2 linked regions of the Macaca fascicularis genome follow. The main gene of each other region encodes a partner of the protein of the gene in region 2 in a complex. Links are inferred from orthologs where the notes say so. Each region holds a gene or a part of one and is shown on either strand. Other genes may lie near its edges.

Region 1 (4,221 bases), on a different chromosome or scaffold from region 2:
TTTAAAGGATAAACCAAAAGAATGTATATCAAACATACTAGAAAAAAGATGCTAGCAATTAAGGAGTGCAACCAGTAACGTTATAACTAAGTGCAATCAGGTAAGTCACTCGGAAGTGAAAACCATCTAAATAAAAACCAAATTAATAACTCTCATCAATATGATAGCCAAATTTGAGACACTACCCACAAAATGCAGAGGGGCACACATCAGCCACATCAATATTGTGATCCCTCAGTTCACAAGAGAGACACACAATTATCTGAGATACACTGTAAGGACACCAATGATCAACATATGGCATCGCAATGGCTGTTCCAGGGAACATCCATTTTCACTGTTCCCTGGATTTCAGGCATAAAAAGATGACTGAAGACATATACTGGCCCTTTTACCTTAACCCAATTCATAACCATTGTAAAAGTAACCATTTCGCTACTCAAAAGATTATAAAGAAATTCTATTTTTCGTAAGAATCTACGATCTACTAGCACACACATACTGTACCTTAATATATAATTATCAAATCTGAAAACAAACGTTCTGCAAATTACCAGCTACTACAATATTTTGGTGTTTGCCTTTTAACTAAAGCTGATGGGGGGAGTAGGGAGGTTGGAAGAATACTCATTTTACCTGCCCTTCCCAAATTTCACTTCAAAAGAGTGTTTAAAAACTCAGTATGTCCAGATATAAATCTCCAAGCTTAATTTTCACTGTTTAACAAAAGCGATGTAGAAAGCAATTACTGTACCCTCCATCAATCCTTTCGGATTGCACAGAATTCCTTCCAGAAAATTCCAATAGAAAAAAAGTTAGACAGGTATTCGCGTTTTGGTGCGTAAGTAGTCTTTGGCACACGTCATGTAGCGTGAAATCCTTTAAGACATTTAAATGTTCCTGGTATTGTTTTGCGATGAACGTGATAAAATAGTCAAACAATCCATATTTACCAAGAGTAAAAACACTTCCACCACGCACGGAAAATCTCTCCAAAACACAAAATCTGATTCAAAAATTATAAATAAAAAGAGAATAAATGTAAAAACAAATGCATAAACAAACTTCGAAATGCGTATGCGATGACATTACTGAAGCCATTACTCAAAACGAACCTCTGTAAAATCGAGAACGCACAATCAATGCAATAAGATGCTCGAGAAAGCCAAACCCGAGGCGCTGCGCAGTTCCCGCATCGCACAATTCATTTCAACACATTCCTTGACGAATACATCCAAGGTCACTCACGATGGAGAGGAAAGTGCCTGTCTCTCTCCAGAGCACGCAACCCGTTCGCCGCGCCCCCACGGAGGGCGGCGAGGAGACGGGCGCATCAGGAAAGGGGCTGCGCGGGCGCGAGGACTGGCCGGTGGGCGTTCCGGCGCCGCGGAAACCCGCGCATCCGCGGAGCCCGCAACTTGCAAGGTCCGCGGCCATCCCCCGGGCCTGGGAGGGGTGGCCCGAGGGCAGGCCCGCGTCCCCGGGGTGACCCGACCCGCCGCGCCGGGGTCCCGCCCCTCCCCCCGCCCCGCCCCCGTCGCCGGCCCGGGATTATGCAACGCTCCCCCTCCCCGCCCGCATTCTGGCGCAGCGCCCCCTCCCCGCGCCCGACTGCGCAGCGCCGCCGCCCCCTGCCCGCGGGCCTCCCCGCCCGGCTCCAAACAAAGCGCGCGCTAAGGGGCCGGCGGCGGCCGGGGAACTGGGGACGGGAGGGTGGCGGCCATGTTGGCGGGGGGCGGCGGAGATGGGGGGACTGAGGAGTGGGGGCCGGCGAACAAAGGAGCGCGCGCCCGCCCGGAGGCCCAGGCCCGCCCCGCCCGGGTCCCCGCCGTGGCCCGGCCGGCAGGGGGCGCTGTGCGGGCGCCGCCCGCTGGACAATGCTCCGCCGGGCCCCGCGCGGGCCGCGCTCACCTGCGCCCCCGGGCAGGCCGCCGCACCCCTGGCCTGCCGGCGGCCCGCACCCTCTCACGACCCACGCCCGCCCTGCGCGAGCCTCACCTGCTGGCCGCTGCGGCTGCAGTCCACAGGCCCACGGGTTCCGCCGTCGCTCGTTCGCGCTCCCGCCGGCCCCAGCCCGAGCCAGACGGCGCCTCCCCGCCCCCGCTCCCTCGCCGCGGACGCCGCCCGCCCCCCAGCAGCCAGGGCGCACGCGCACTGCGCCCGCCGAACTGCGACGGCCGCGCCGCCCCGGCGCCTGGCGCCGACGGCCGACTGCGCAGGCGCAGTGGGGCGGGGCGGGGCCGGCGGGGGCGGGGCCCGGTCCTTCTCACCTGGCGGGCGGCAGGGCGGGGCCGGAGACCCGGAATGCCAGGTGCGCGAGGTGAATGGGCGGTGGCAGGCGCGCGGAGCCCAGGCGCCTGAGGGGGCGCAGCTTCTCCCGGAAGGCAGGCAGCCTCCGAAGGACTTCGTTTTTGCGCAGGAGGACGTTGAAGAAAGGACAAGCCCCCTTTGTCCTGGGACGTAAGCCGCAAGTGGTCCTGAGTAGTGCACACCGCGAAGACTGAGGAAGCTGGATCACAGGGCTGGGCCGTGAGCCCTGAACCTTGGAGAACGCCGCATTACTGCTCCAGCGCGCCGGTTCAGGACCGCGGGACGCGAGCCCTTTAAAAGGATGGATTTGCTTCCTGTGACTCCCTGGAAGAGACGTCTTCACCACCGCACTGCGTAGAGGCCGGCGTCGTCGCCCGCTCACCTCGCTTGCTGCCTCCCCGCACAAAGCCCAGCCCAGGTAGCTCAGGTTAGCTGGAGCCCCGGAGCCTCACCTACAAATAGCTGGCCTGGCCTAGGTTGTGTGGGGACGGGATGTGGCTTCTGCAAGCCCAGAAACCTGTTTCCACTCCCCCACCAGAAATGGAAGTCACCCAGCTCTACTCGCAAGGTTAGGAGCCAAAAATTCCCATGATCGCACGCGAATTCATTTGACTTCCGTTTCAGTTAAGATGCCTTTTCAGCATTTTGTTGCTTGTTTGCAGGAGAAGGGAGAGAGGTAGCGTCAAGAATAGTTTTTACTCCTGCAGAGTCGAGTGCAGGACTTGGAGGCTGAGTTCAGGCGCTCTCCCTTCCCCGCCAGCCCCGTGTCCTGCAGCAGGTCACTGACCCGGTTCCTCGAGTGCGACAGCGCAGCCTCATCGTAATAAACCGCCTCCCAAAACGTTGTCAGATCAAATTTCAGAACATGGTATTGGAAAGCACCTTAAACACTCTAAACTGCAGCACAATTATTAGTTAGCAATACTCTTTGGGGTTTGACTGGCACCTTTTCTTCCAAATAAGAGTGATAGATTCCTACTCAAACAAATGGAAATGCTTGTCTCAGATGACACACTTGGCAGGCATGGGACGTTCACAGGCCAACTAGAGGGCTGATTTCAGTACTGAGGTATAAAAGTGTAATGCTGTACTTACAAGTTCCCAAGTGTTGAGAAATTACTCACTCATTTGTGTATTTAATGTCTTTTTTGTGTGTTTGTTTAGACGGAGTTTCGCTCTGTTCCCAAGGCTGTAGTGCGGTGGCATGATCTCGGCCCACTGCAACCTCTGCTTCCTGGGTTCAAGCAGTCCTCATATCTCAGCCTCCCGAGTAGCTGGGATTACAGGCGCGCACCACCATATCCAGCTAATTTTTAAAAATATTTTTAGTAGAGGCGGTATTTCGCCATATTGGCCAGGCTGGTGTCAAACTCCTGGCCTCAAGCAATCCGCTGGCCTCAGCCTCCTAAAGTGCTAGGATTACAGGCGTGAGCCACCGTGCCGGCCTGTTTAATGTCTTATAGTGGGATTATCTCAGAAACAGAGGAATGGGAAGAAGGTAGGTGCCAAGAAATCTGCTGGTTGGAAGATTTCATCTCGTTGGTGAGACCCCTGGGTTTCTCCACCTCAGCACTGTTGGCTTTTGGGATGGGATAATCCTTTCGTGTGGGGTCGGTCCCATGCTTTGTAGGATGTTTGACGGCATCCCTGGCCTCCACCCACTAGATGCTAGTAGCACACACGCTCCTCCAAAATTCACAGAAAACGTCTTCAAAGTCAAATATGTTGCCCCACCTCCATCTCCATCCGCCAACCCCTGATTTAAAATGTGCCACTAGTAATGATCACATTGGGAGCTGTTGAGAATACGCAGGACTGTGGCTTACACCTGTAATCCGAACACTTTGGGAGACTGAGGCTGGAGGATGGCTTGAGCCCAGGAGTTCGAGACCAGCCTGGGCAACACAGCAA
Region 2 (4,080 bases):
GCTCAGGCCTGTAATCCCACTTTGGCCGAGGCGGGCGGATCAGGAGGTCAAGAGATCGAGACCATCCTGGTCAACATGGTGAAACCCCGTCTCTACTAAAAATACAAAAATTAGCCGGGCGTGGTTGCACGTACCTGCAGTCCCAGCTACCCGGGAGGCAGAGGCAGGAGAATCGCTTGAACCCGGGAGGCGGAGGTTGTGGTGAGCCAAGATGGCGCCACTGCACTCCAACCTGGTGACAGAGGGAGACTCTGTCTCAAAATAATAATAATAAAAAAAATTGACTGCAATCCATATAGACTAGTTCACACCTCTTCTCATACCCCCATCCTACTACGCGATTCTGAATACTACTGTGTCTGGTTTGATATAACGACATTTGAAGATGTTTTTTCAGTGTCAGACATTTTGCATTTTCTGAGCTGAAATCTCATGAGGGTTGCTATAGAAGAGGGAGATGCACATTCCATGTCACAGAAGTAAAAGCTCACCCAGAGTGTGGTTATAGGGAAGCAATGTCATGGCAACTGGACTCTGGTCTTGGGGCTCTCAAGGGATTGCTGTATGTCCTTGGAGAGGGTCACAAAATCTCTGGACTCACGTGTAAAAAATGGAAATCATACCCATCGGGGTGGTTTACGTCCGCTCACAGTCCACTCCGCTCCTCTTCTTTGCCTTCCCAGAAAGGTCCGAAATGCTTTTTGAAAGAAACGATGAGCCGGTCTAATAAAACAGATAATGTGCCCATGGCCACAGAGCCGGCACATGAGAAGGAATTCGGTCTCTACGCTTCCATACCAAGGCCCTTTCCACTCCCCCACCGCTTCTCTTCCTGCCCGGGGCATCTGCTGGCGGAGGAAGGCTTGTCCACGGAAAGGCAAAAGCGACTCCGGATCAAAATCCGGGGGCACCTGGTAGCGCTCTCCACGCCAGCAGAAACGCCCAACGACTTCTGAACGGAGGGAAACCCCCGGGCTTGGCCAGTCGACTAAGACGTCCGCGGTGCGGGTTTTGGGGGCCCCTCTGCCTCCGCGCACTGGGCGGCCCCGGGTCCGCTCGGCCCTTCCCGCCGCCTCCTGGGTCGAGGGATTCCAACGGGGCCGCGTGCCCGGGGCGGGGCCACGCGCGATTGGTCGCGCGGGATCGGGGGCGGGTCCGCGGCTGGCCGGCCGGGCGGGCGCCGACAATGAGCCTCCATAAAAGGGAGCGGCGGGGGGCAGGGGCCCCGGATTGAGCCCTCCCCGCCCGGGCTCCCGACGCGCCGAGGTCTCGGGGAGGCCCGGACGCGCCGGTTGCAGCGCCGGCCGGCGAGCGGCAGGCGGGCAGGTGGCGGGGAGGGGGCTGCGCGGAGCGGGCAGCGGGCCCGGCGTTGTTCCGGCCAGGAGGCGGGAGGCGGTTGCCGGCTGCGCGGCGAAGCCTGCGCGCCAGTTCTCCGGCCACCGCTATCGCTCACGGCCGCACCATGGCCCTAAAGGCCGAGGGCGCCGCACTCGACTGCTTCGAGGTGACGCTCAAATGCGAGGAAGGGGAGGACGAGGAGGAGGCCATGGTGGTGGCCGTAATTCCGCGGCCCGAGCCGATGCTCAGAGGTGAGGATGGAGGGGATCCCACTTCCGCGTCACGGTGCGGGGCCGGGGTCGTCCCTCCCCAGTCGGGTCCGCGACCCGGGCACCTTCTCATCCCCTTCATCCTGGGGCCCAGGCTTCCCTCTCGGATCTGGGTCCAGGACGCGCTCTTGCACCTCCCCCACCATGGTTTGGAAGCTCAGGCCTCCCCGATTTTCCCCTCCCTCCCCCTTTCCCCCGCCCAGGGTCTGGAGACTTCGATCCACGCCCCGCACGCTCCGGATCTTCCGGTGCCCAGGCGCCCCCTCTCCCGGGCCCAGCACCGGAGGCCGGATCCCCAGAGGCGCTGGGTGGTTGAGGCCGCCGTCTCACGCAAGCACAACGGCCGGGCTGTGTTCTAGGCCGAGGGGCGGCGAAGCCTATAGGCCCGAGGCTACAGGCGGGCGCCGCTGCCGACCTCCAGGAGAATTTTAAGGACTCCCCGAGCATGACTCTTTCCTGCACACCGCCCCGCTTCATCCCCATTCCCGGGCCTTCCACTTGCAGGAGCCACAGGTGTCAGGTTCTGGAGAGAAGGGATGAATGGGACTGCATACAACAGCTAGTTTGGAAAAGCAGTGCAGTGCTAGAATGAGATTAGCTTTGGGAGGGGATGGGAAGAACAGTCTGAGAACACTCGCTCTCCCCTCCCCCTTCGCCGATTTCTAGTCCTCAGGAACTTGCAAACCATAAGAAAACAAAGAGCCATCTTTGTGGGAGACTTAATATGCATGAAAATGCAAATATCTTTCCATTCTCCCACCCGCCTTTTCTTTGGGGGGACAGTACCCAGAAGAGGTTGAGAGCAGCAAGGCCATTCATTGAACCTCAGCCGAACAGAATGATGTCTGTCTGCACTGCCTCTCATCCTTTTTGGAACTGGAAGGGTTATAAAATTCATGAGGGAAATAAAGGTCACCTCCCTTCTCGGAGCATGTAGTCCAAAAGACAGGTTGTTTTCCTACTTCTGCTAATATTTGCTGAGTGTTCACTGGGCATTGTCAGAGGCTGTCTCAGTTAATCCTCTCAACCCTGCAAGGGTGGCCTTACCCCCACTGTTAGGGTGGGAATAGACAGGTGAATTCATTCAACCAATATTCACTGGACGTCTACTTTAGGCTGTTTAGGCTAGTGTTTTTAGGCTGGGAAGTAGTAGCAGTAAACAGAGCAGCTGAAACCTTACTCTTGAAGAACATATATATACCAATGGCTAAAGACAGAGAAATAGGTTCATGTATAGTATGTTGGGTGGCAATAAATGGTTCAGAGATCACTGAAGCAGGACAAGGAGAAAGGGGGAATGGGTGTTTAATTGGATATATCGAGTGGTTCAGAAAGTGTTCTCTAATAAGGTGAATTTTGAGCACAGACCCAAAGGAAGTGAGGATGCCAACCTTGCAGGTATCTGCAGGAAGAGCATTTCAGGCCGAATAGCAAGTGCAAAGGTCCGGCAGCACAAGCTGCTGGAAAGATTTCAGTGGAGAGTGGAAGAAAGATTGAATTCAAGGTTTTTGGCCTGAGCAACTGGAGGAACAGCCTTCCCATTTTCTGAGATGGGGAAGGCTGCGGTGCTCATGGGAAACTGGGAATGAAAGTTTGAATATAATTAAGTTTGAGATGCCTATTTATGACATATTCAAGTGGAGAGGTCAACTAAGCAGTCAGATACATGAGCCTAGATTTCCTGGGAGTATCTGGCTAGTGGCGTAAACGGAAATTGCCAGCAGGCAGACAGTGGGATGAGAGGGAAGTAGAGAAGTGTGTAAGAACTGAGTCCTGGGAAACTCCAGTGATGGCAGGTTGGAAACCGAGTCAGTCCCTCATCACACATTACTAAATGTCACTGCATGCCGGGAGATGCAGATACAGATGCCAGAGATATGGATGTAAAACATCAGAAATCTGTGTGGTCATGGATTCTTTTTTTTTTTTTTTTTTTTTTTTTTTTTTTTTGAGATGGAGTTTCTCTCTTTTTGCTCAAGCTGGAGTGCAATGGCACAATCTCGGCTCACCACAACCTCTACCTCCCCGGTTCAAGTGATTCTCCTGTGTCAGCCTCCCGAGTAACTGGGATTACAGTCATGCGCTACCACACCCAGCTAATTTTGTATTTTTAGTAGAGATGGGGTTTCTCCCTGTGGCTCAGGCTGGTCTCGAACTTGCAACCTCAGGTGATCCGCCTGCCTCGGCCTCCCAAAGTGCTGGGATTCAGGTGTGAGCCACCGCGCCTGGCCATGGTCATGGATTCTATGGTGTGGTGAGGAGACAAGCAGTGAACATCCCAAAAACAAGTATCAGGTGGTGATGTGTGCTGTGTTGGAGATGATCCATAAGGGGAATGGGGTGCTCTGGTGAGGGGAGATGGTTCTTCAGCAACAACCCAGAGGAAGAGAGGGAATATTGAGAAGAGATGAGGAAGAACCAGCACCCGTAACTGAGAAGGAGTGCCAGGGAAGCAAAAGAAGAACCAACAGAA

What was found. The genes of interacting proteins can lie anywhere in the genome.
Region 1: the proteins of SPINDOC (region 2) and SPIN1 are in contact, whole or in part, in a crystal structure (PDB 7CNA), measured with the Homo sapiens proteins. The link is inferred for Macaca fascicularis from reciprocal best matches to the Homo sapiens genes SPINDOC and SPIN1. Residues at the interface, in NP_612480.1 of Homo sapiens: Phe256, Ala258, Pro259, Ala260, Val262, His264, Phe265, Thr266, Asp267, Ser269, Phe270, Pro271, Gly273, Phe274, Val275, Leu276, Gln277, Leu278, Phe279, Ser280; in NP_006708.2 of Homo sapiens: Met154, Thr169, Tyr170, Glu171, Pro174, Pro206, Val209, Val210, Leu213, Lys216, Gln217, Val218, Glu219, Tyr220, Thr229, Val232, Val242, Tyr243, Ile245, Phe247, Asp249, Asp250, Tyr254, Val255, Tyr256, Asp257, Leu258, Val259, Lys260, Thr261.

The regions. Positions count from the first base shown.
Region 1 is NC_088389.1:118,702,116-118,706,336, reverse strand, and holds the start of SPIN1 (spindlin-1), read right to left. Parts: upstream 2,860-4,221; 5' UTR 2,271-2,859; intron 2,123-2,270; exon of another isoform or gene 1,999-2,122; intron 1,443-1,998; exon of another isoform or gene 755-1,442; intron 1-754. UniProt on the Homo sapiens protein: Chromatin reader that specifically recognizes and binds histone H3 both trimethylated at 'Lys-4' and 'Lys-9' (H3K4me3K9me3) and is involved in piRNA-mediated retrotransposon silencing during spermatogenesis.
Region 2 is NC_088388.1:10,595,614-10,599,693, reverse strand, and holds the start of SPINDOC (spindlin interactor and repressor of chromatin-binding protein), read left to right. Parts: upstream 1-1,227; 5' UTR 1,228-1,462; coding exon 1,463-1,589; intron 1,590-4,080. UniProt on the Homo sapiens protein: Chromatin protein that stabilizes SPIN1 and enhances its association with histone H3 trimethylated at both 'Lys-4' and 'Lys-9' (H3K4me3K9me3).